Macaca fascicularis: one gene and its partner. The protein of the gene in region 1 binds, or shares a complex with, the protein of each later gene. Links are inferred from orthologs where the notes say so. Each region holds a gene or a part of one and is shown on either strand. Other genes may lie near its edges.

What was found.
Region 2: the proteins of GIPR (region 1) and GIP are in contact, whole or in part, in a cryo-EM structure (PDB 7RA3), measured with the Homo sapiens proteins. The link is inferred for Macaca fascicularis from reciprocal best matches to the Homo sapiens genes GIPR and GIP. Residues at the interface, in NP_000155.1 of Homo sapiens: Gln30, Thr31, Ala32, Leu35, Tyr36, Trp39, Tyr68, Trp71, Leu88, Trp90, Arg101, Arg113, His115, Asn120, Gln130, Arg131, Leu134, Glu135, Leu137, Gln138, Tyr141, Tyr145, Arg183, Ile187, Arg190, Asp191, Pro197, Gly198, Pro199, Tyr200; in NP_004114.1 of Homo sapiens: Tyr52, Ala53, Glu54, Gly55, Thr56, Phe57, Ile58, Ser59, Asp60, Tyr61, Ser62, Ile63, Ala64, Met65, Asp66, Lys67, Ile68, His69, Gln70, Gln71, Phe73, Val74, Trp76, Leu77, Leu78, Lys81.

The regions. Positions count from the first base shown.
Region 1 is NC_088393.1:53,738,307-53,742,116, forward strand, and holds part of GIPR (gastric inhibitory polypeptide receptor), read left to right. Parts: intron 1-871; coding exon 872-975; intron 976-2,104; coding exon 2,105-2,208; intron 2,209-2,708; coding exon 2,709-2,853; intron 2,854-3,810. UniProt on the Homo sapiens protein: This is a receptor for GIP. The activity of this receptor is mediated by G proteins which activate adenylyl cyclase.
Region 2 is NC_088390.1:57,758,682-57,762,445, reverse strand, and holds the end of GIP (gastric inhibitory polypeptide), read right to left. Parts: intron 3,218-3,764; coding exon 3,125-3,217; intron 2,383-3,124; coding exon 2,281-2,382; intron 711-2,280; coding exon 701-710; 3' UTR 589-700; downstream 1-588. UniProt on the Homo sapiens protein: Potent stimulator of insulin secretion and relatively poor inhibitor of gastric acid secretion.

The DNA of each region.
Region 1 (3,810 bases):
TCCCAAAGTGCTGGGATTACAGGCGTGAGCCACCGTGCCCGGCCCCTACTTTTTTCCTTTTTGAGACAGAGTCTGGGTCTGTCACCCATGTGGTGGCGGCATCATAGTTCACTGCAGCCTCGGAACTCCTGGGTTCAAGCGATCTTTCCGCCTCAGCCTCCCAAATAGCAGGGACTAGAGGCGCATGCTAACACATCCAGCTAATTTTTTTTTTTGGCAGTGACAGAGTCTTGCCATGTTACCCAGGCTGATCTTAAACTCCTGGCCTCAAGGGATCCTCTCACCTCAGTCTCCCAAAGCGCTGGGATTACAGGCCTATTTAACTTTTGTTGTTTTTGTTGTTTTGTTGTTGTTGTTGAGACGGAGTCTGGCTTTGTTGCAAGGCTGGAATGCAGTGGCGTGATCTCGGCTCACTGTAACCTCACCTCCCAGGTTCAACCAATCTCCTGCCTCAGCCTCCCAAGTAGCTGGGACTACAGGCGGGTGCTACTATGCCCAGCTAATTTTTGTATTTTTAGTAGAGACAGGGTTCCACCATGTTGGCCAGGATGGTCTCGATCTCTTGACCTCCTGATCTGCCCATCGCAGACTCCCAAAGTGCTGGGATTACAGGCGTGAGCCACCGTGCCCAGCCTTAACTTTTTGTATCTCAATTTTCCCATATGTAAAACTAGGTTAAGGATATTACCAATTCCATGGGCTTGTATGAATATTAAATTAATACATATAGCATGCCATATAAGGGTTTATCATCATCATCATCATGGTCACCACTTCTGCTCTCTCCCTCTCTGTTATTGTCTCACAGTTTGTCTTTCTGTATTTATCTCTTTCTCTGTGTGCCTTAATTCCCTCTCTTCTTTCCCCACAGTGGCTGCAGGTTTTGTCCTCCGCCAGTGTGGCAGTGATGGCCAATGGGGACTTTGGAGAGACCACACACAATGTGAGAACCCAGAGAAGAATGAGGCCTTTCTGGTAAGAAGAGGTGAGGGCTTCAGGTTAGGAGTCCAGGGAGAGAAGGAAAGGCAGTAGATTCAGGCAGGGCCTGAAATCCCTTGGACTATTCAGAGCTCTGGGTTGTAAGTGAGAGAAACTCAACTCAGACTTGCTTCAAAGAGCGAGACAGAAAGATGTATTGGCTTATGTGATGGAAAACAATAAGATGGCTGGGTGCTGTGGCTCATGCCTGTAATCCCAGCACTTTGGGAGGCCAAGGAGGGTGGATCACTTGAGGTCAGGAGTTTGCGACCAGCCTAGCCAACATGGCAAAACCCCGTGTCTACTAAAAATACAAAAATTAGCCGGGCGTGGTTGTGTGCACCTGTAGTCCCAGCTACTCAGGGGGCTGAGACATGAGAATTGCTGGAACCCAGGAGGCAGAGGTTGCAGTGAGCCAAGATCGTGCCACTGTACTCCAACCTGGGTGACAGAGTGAGACTCCATCTCAAAAAAATAAATAACTAAATAAAAGAATGCTCTAGTTGGGCTGAGCTCAGTGGCTCATGCCTGTAATTCCAACACTTTGAGAAGATGATTGCTTGAGCGCAGGATTTTGAGACCAGCCTGGGTTACATGGTGAAACTCCATCTCTACAAAAAATACAAAACTTTGGCCAGGAGCAGTGGCTCATGCCTGTAATCCCAGCACTTTGGGAGGCCGAGGTGGGCGGATCACGAGATCAAGAGATTGAGACCATTCTGGCCAATATGGTGAAACCCCGTCTCTATTAAAAATACAAAAATTAGCTGGGCATGTTGGTGCGCACCTGTAGTCCCAGCTACTCTGGAGTCTGGGGCGGGAGGATCGCTTGAGCCCTGGAGGGCGAGGCTGCAAGGAACCATGATCCTGCCAGAGTACTCCAGGGCAACAAAGCAAGACTATATCTCAAAAAAAAAAAAAAAAAAAAATTATCTGGTTGGCTGGTCACATGCCTCGTGCCCTGGAGCTGAAGGGTGGAGTCGGCCCTTCTCAAAAAAGGGTAAGCTGTTCCCCAAGAGAACATAGGGTATTTGGGCAGAAACAAAGAGCAGAGGTCCTTCCAGTCTCTCTCTGGGCCTGGGGCTTCGAGCCAAGCCTTGTTCCCTTCCCCTTCTCGCCCCCCCAGGACCAAAGGCTCATCTTGGAGCGGCTGCAGGTCATGTACACCGTCGGCTACTCCCTGTCTCTCGCCACACTGCTGCTAGCCCTGCTCATCTTGAGCTTGTTCAGGTGGGACTTGAACCCTGAGTGGTGGCGGCAGAGATGTGAGCTCGGCTTCAGTTTGTCCAGTAAGATGGGGTGGTCTGGTTCCACCAGCTCCAACCATCCACTGGTGGTTCTATGGGGAGCAGTGGGGGTGGTTAAAGGAGCTCTCTTTGGTGGCTGATGCCTGTAATCCCAGCTCTTTGGGAGGCCAAGGCACGAGGATCGCTTGAGTCCAGGAGTTTGAAATCTGGCTGGGCAACATAGTGAAACCTTGTCTCTGCGAAAAATAAAAAATTAGCTAGGCATGCTGGTGGTGCACCTGTGGTCCCAGCTATAGTGGGGCGCTGAGACAGGAGGATTGCTTGAGCTCGGGAGGTTGAGGCTGCAGTGAGCCCTGATTGTGCCACTGCATTCTAGCCTGGGTGACAGAGTGAGACCCTGTTTAAAAAAAAAAAAAAAATAGAGCTCTGTGTGGCTGAGGGCAGCTCTCCAGGGGCCCCCAAACTGCCTTCCAAATTCCCTAGGCGACTACATTGCACTAGAAACTATATCCACATCAACCTGTTCACGTCTTTCACACTGCGAGCGGCGGCGATTCTCAGCCGGGACCGTCTACTGCCTCGACCTGGCCCCTACCTTGGGGACCAGGCCCTTGTGCTGTGGAACCAGGTGGGCATCCTCCTTCCATTCCTCCAAATGGGAATCTTGCTTCTCTGGTGGGACCAGGAAGTTCTCAGTGCATTTCCTATCTCCTACACTCTCACAGTTTATCTGAGCTGGGAGGGTCCCTCTCCAAATGTGTCTTGGGGTGGGGGATCAAGACACATTTGGAGAGGGAACCTCCCAACTCGGCCTCATTGAACTCTCCCAGCCTATCACTCCCATATTGGAATTTTCCATTCCTCTCCCTCATTATCTCACCCATCATTGAACTTTTTCACCAATGAGAGAATCCACCTGCTGGAGGTGAGGCATGGCAGGATACAAGAAAGTAACTGGGGACTGGGATGTGGTAAGTGCCAGTTTGTTACTAGGAGAAAGGGTGGGAGAGGCTAGAGGCTGGGAGTAGACGTGGTGAGAACTATCTAGTCAAAAGTTGGACCATACCAATTGTTAAGAAGCCATAGTGGACGGGCGCGGTGGCTCACGCCTGTAATCCCAGCACTTTGGGAGCCGAGGCAGGTGGATCACCTGAGGTCGGGAGTTCAAGACCAACCTGACCAACATGGAGAAACCCTGTCTCTACTAAAAATACAAAATTAGCCAAGGTGGTGGCACATGCCTGTAATCACAGCTACTTGGAAGGCTGAGGCAACAGAATCGCTTGAACCTGGGATGCAGAGGTTGCGGTGAGCCGAGATCGCGCCATTGCACTCCAGCCTGGGCAAAAAGAGCGAAACTCTGTCTCAAAAAAAAAAAAAAAAAAAAAAAAAAAAAAAAAAAAAGCCATAGCACACACCCAGGCACAGTGGCTCACGTCTGTAATCCCAGCACTTTGGGAGGCCGAGGCGGGCAGATCACGAGGTCCGGAGTTCAAGATCAGCCTGGTCAATATGGTGAAACCCCATCTCTACTAAAAATACAAAGATTAGCCGGGCGTGGTGGTGCACACCTGTAGTCTCAGCT
Region 2 (3,764 bases), on another chromosome or scaffold:
AATAAAAAATTAGCCCGGTGTGGTGGCACATGCCTGTAATCCCAGCTACTTGGGAGGCTGAGGCAAGAGAATCAATTGAACCTGGGAGGCGGAGGTTGCAATGAGCAGAGAGCTCACCATTGCACTCCATCTAGCCTGGGTAACAAGAGCAAGACTCCATCTCAAAAAAAAGAGAAAAAAAAATTAGCCACGCGTGGTGGAGGGCGCCTATAATCCCAGCTACTCAGGAGGCTGAGGCAGGAGAATCGCTTGAACCCAGGAGGCAGAGGTTGCAGTGAGCCGAGATTGCACCATTGCACTCCAGCCTGGATGACAGAGTGAGAACTCCGTCTCAAAAAAAAGAAACAAAACAAAACAAAACAAAGATGGAGTCTCACTCTGTTACCCAGGATGGACTGGAACTTCTGGGGTTAAGCAATCCTCCAGACTCAGCCTCCCAGAGTACTGGGATTACAGGCATACACCACCATGCCCAGACCATATTTCCTTTCCACTGGGTGGTGCCCACACACACAGAGATACACAAAGACAAACATGCCCTGTTAGTGCTCAGTAGTCATTTGAATAAATTTTCACAATGCACTCGACTTATCTCAGCATAAACTTTATTGGTTTGGCTTCTCTTGGCTATTCTGGAGTGGGGCTGAGGCAGGAGCTAAGTGAAGGGCAGAATCCAGTCCTGAGCTGGGTGTGGTCAGAGTCACCGAGACCTGGGGAGAGTGGGGAAAGGAGAGGAAGGTTATGGACTTGGAGTCGGCCAAGCACGTTTATCCTGGGACCCAGCCATTGTTGAACCCCTCCTACCTTCAAATCACCTTTTTAAGTATCTTAATTTTTATCAATTTACCTTTTTTTTATTTTTTTTGAGACGGAGCCTCGCTGTCCCCCAGGCTGGAGTGCAGTGGCGCAATCTCGGCTCACTGCAAGCTCTGCCCCCTGGGTTCATGCCATTCTCCTGCCTCAGCCTCCCGAGTAGCTGGGACTACAGGCTCCCACCTCCATGCCCGGCTAATTTTTTGTATTTTTAGTAGAGACGGGGTTTCACCAGGTTAGCCAGGATGGTCTTGATCTCCCGACCTCGTGATCTGCCCACCTCGGCCTCCCAAAGTGCTGGGATTACAGGCATGAGCCACCGTGCTCAGCCTCATTTTACTTATTTTTTAAGAGACAGTCTCACTGTGGTGCCCAAGCTGGAGTGCGGTGACTATTTACGGATGTAATCATAGATTACTGCAGTCTTGAACTCCTGGCCTCAAGCAGTGCTCCCACCTTTGCCCCATCAAATCACCATTTTAATGATAAGTAATCCAAATAATTCACAAAAGTACAGAGACCGTTACCCACCTTCCTACAGAGATTTTCTCACACCCTCTTCATGGATCTGCTCACGCTCCTGTCCCTTCTTCCCCTCCTGAGGTTCCTGTTCCAGATTTGCTCCCTCAATGCCTCCCTAGCTGCTCAGTATCAGTGTCTGAAGTGTTCTGGTTTCCGTGCCCCGCTGTCTGCATCATGAGGATCCTGTCTCACCCTTTAGGAGGACAGGTCTCTTCATAATATTTAGTCCCTCGATTCTGAGACATAAGGAATGGACTGAAGAATTTTCTAGCTGATGAGGTGGATTCAAGAGACCATTGAAGCCACCAATGGCCACAGAGAAAGGAAACATGCCTCCAACTATGCAGTTTCCCATCACCAGGAAGGTACCATGGCCCAAGGGTACAGAGGGAAAGCTGAGAACAGGATGGGGCTCAGCTCGGTGGGTAGGATTGGGGACAGGCAGGGCACAGGATGGGCTCAGCTCGGTCAGTAGGGACAGGCAGGGCACAGGATGGGCTCAGCTCGGTTGGTAGGGACAGGCAGGGCACAGGATGGGCTCAGCTCAGTGGGTAGGAACAGGCAGGGCACAGGATGGGCTCAGCTCAGTGGGTAGGGATAGGCAGGGGAGAGCAGCACCTCACCTGGAAGAGTGAGGAAGAACAAATAGTAATCAGAGCTGCTAACCTTGCAGAGCTCTCATTACTCCTCAAAGGTGGCCCTCAGGTCTCCATTTGAATTGTCTTTATTTTTCTTTTGTTTTTTTCTTTGTATTTTTCCACTTGCATTGTCTTACTTAAAGCTCACAACATCCCATGAAATGATTCTATACCTCTGATTTTAATGAAAACACTGAGGTTCAGAAAGGCTACGTAATCAGCCAGCATGTGGAGGGGCAAAGATCTGAATCCATGTCTGATGCCCAAGCTCAATTTAGAACTGCTGTGCAACACCACATTCCCCTACCTGCACCTGCAGAGGTTTGTCTGATCCACCAAGCAGGCCAACAGCTCTTGAATCAGCAAGTCCCGCAGCAAATCTTCATCGCTGGGGTTCTTGGGTGGGGAGCTGCAAGGTAAGAGCCTCTGGCTGACTGTTTTAGCCTGAGCCGCGCCCAAAGAGAGTAAACACAGGACTGGGGACACCACTGAGGGGCAGCCACGGATTGGGGGAGGGAGCCAACACAGCTGCCTCTCTGTTGGCTCAGCTCTGAGATCTGGAGCCTGCTTTCTGCCAGCCCCACCCAGCACTGCCTGCCTGGGGAATATGGACTCTTCCTACAGGGAGAGTCAAACAGAATTCTGGTGTGAGATATTCCGCCCATCCACCTCTGCAAGTGTTCCAGCATGCAGAGAGTACTTTGGGCACATTCACTTTTTGAAATGACCTGTGCCATTCAGAGAGGGGATAACTGATTTCAGGGGAGTGGGCCTGGGAAGATCCCCCACTCTTTCACAAACAGCCTTCCCGAAGTTTGGCAGGGGGAGGTGGTGAGGCCGGAACCTGAGGTCTCTTCTTTCCTGCCCTTCTCCTGACTCAGTGACTCTGCTGTGTATCAAGTCATCAATCTTAGAAACCCTGTCCCTGAAACCCCTCCTAGCACCCCTCCCCTGTTCCTCCAAGCCTTCTTCCTTAAGCTTGGGCTGACCTCCAGGAGTTTGCTCAATGAAGACCCCTCTTTGAACTCTTGAGAGGAAGAGGATGATTATCGCGGGTCCTTGCTCTGCTCTGGGGTCAGGGAGAGGGAGCAACGAGGTGGGGGCAGGGCAGGAGGCTCGGCTGCCTCCCTTCCCTCTGCGCCCTGACTCACCTCTGTGGCTCCACTGCCTCCTCCTCCTTCCTATTAGCTTGACTGGCCAGCTCGAGTGCCCGAGCCTCCCTCTGGGTGATGTTGTGTTTCCAGCTGGGAAGATAAGATTAGAGAGTGGGCAAGCTGTGGAGACTCCAGGCTAGAGACACTTGAATCTTTTAGTACCTCAACCCCAAAAGCAGAGGGTACCTTTCTCCACTTAAGCCCACCCAATGGTGGTCTTCAGCTGCCTCCACCAGTGAACAGCTTTTCAGAATCTACCACGCTGACCAGAGACGGCATAGAGCAGGGAGAAGGATAAGGACAGTTCATCTTCTCTTCACTTTTGTGTGTGTGTGTGTGTGTGTGTGTGTGTGTGTGTGTGTGTGTGTGTGTGTGAGATAGGGTCTGGCTGTATTTCCCAGACTGGAGTGCAGGGGCACCATCTCGGCTCACTGCAACCTCTGCCTCCCAGGCTCAAGCCATCTTCCCGTCTCAGCCTCCTGAGTAGCTGAAACTACAGGCAGGCATTACCACACCACACCCAGCTAATTTTTGTACTTTTTGTTTGCCATGTTGCCCAGGCTGGTCTCGAATGAACTTGTGAGCTCAAACAATCCACCTACCTGGGCCTCCCAAAGTGCTGGGATTACAGGCGTGA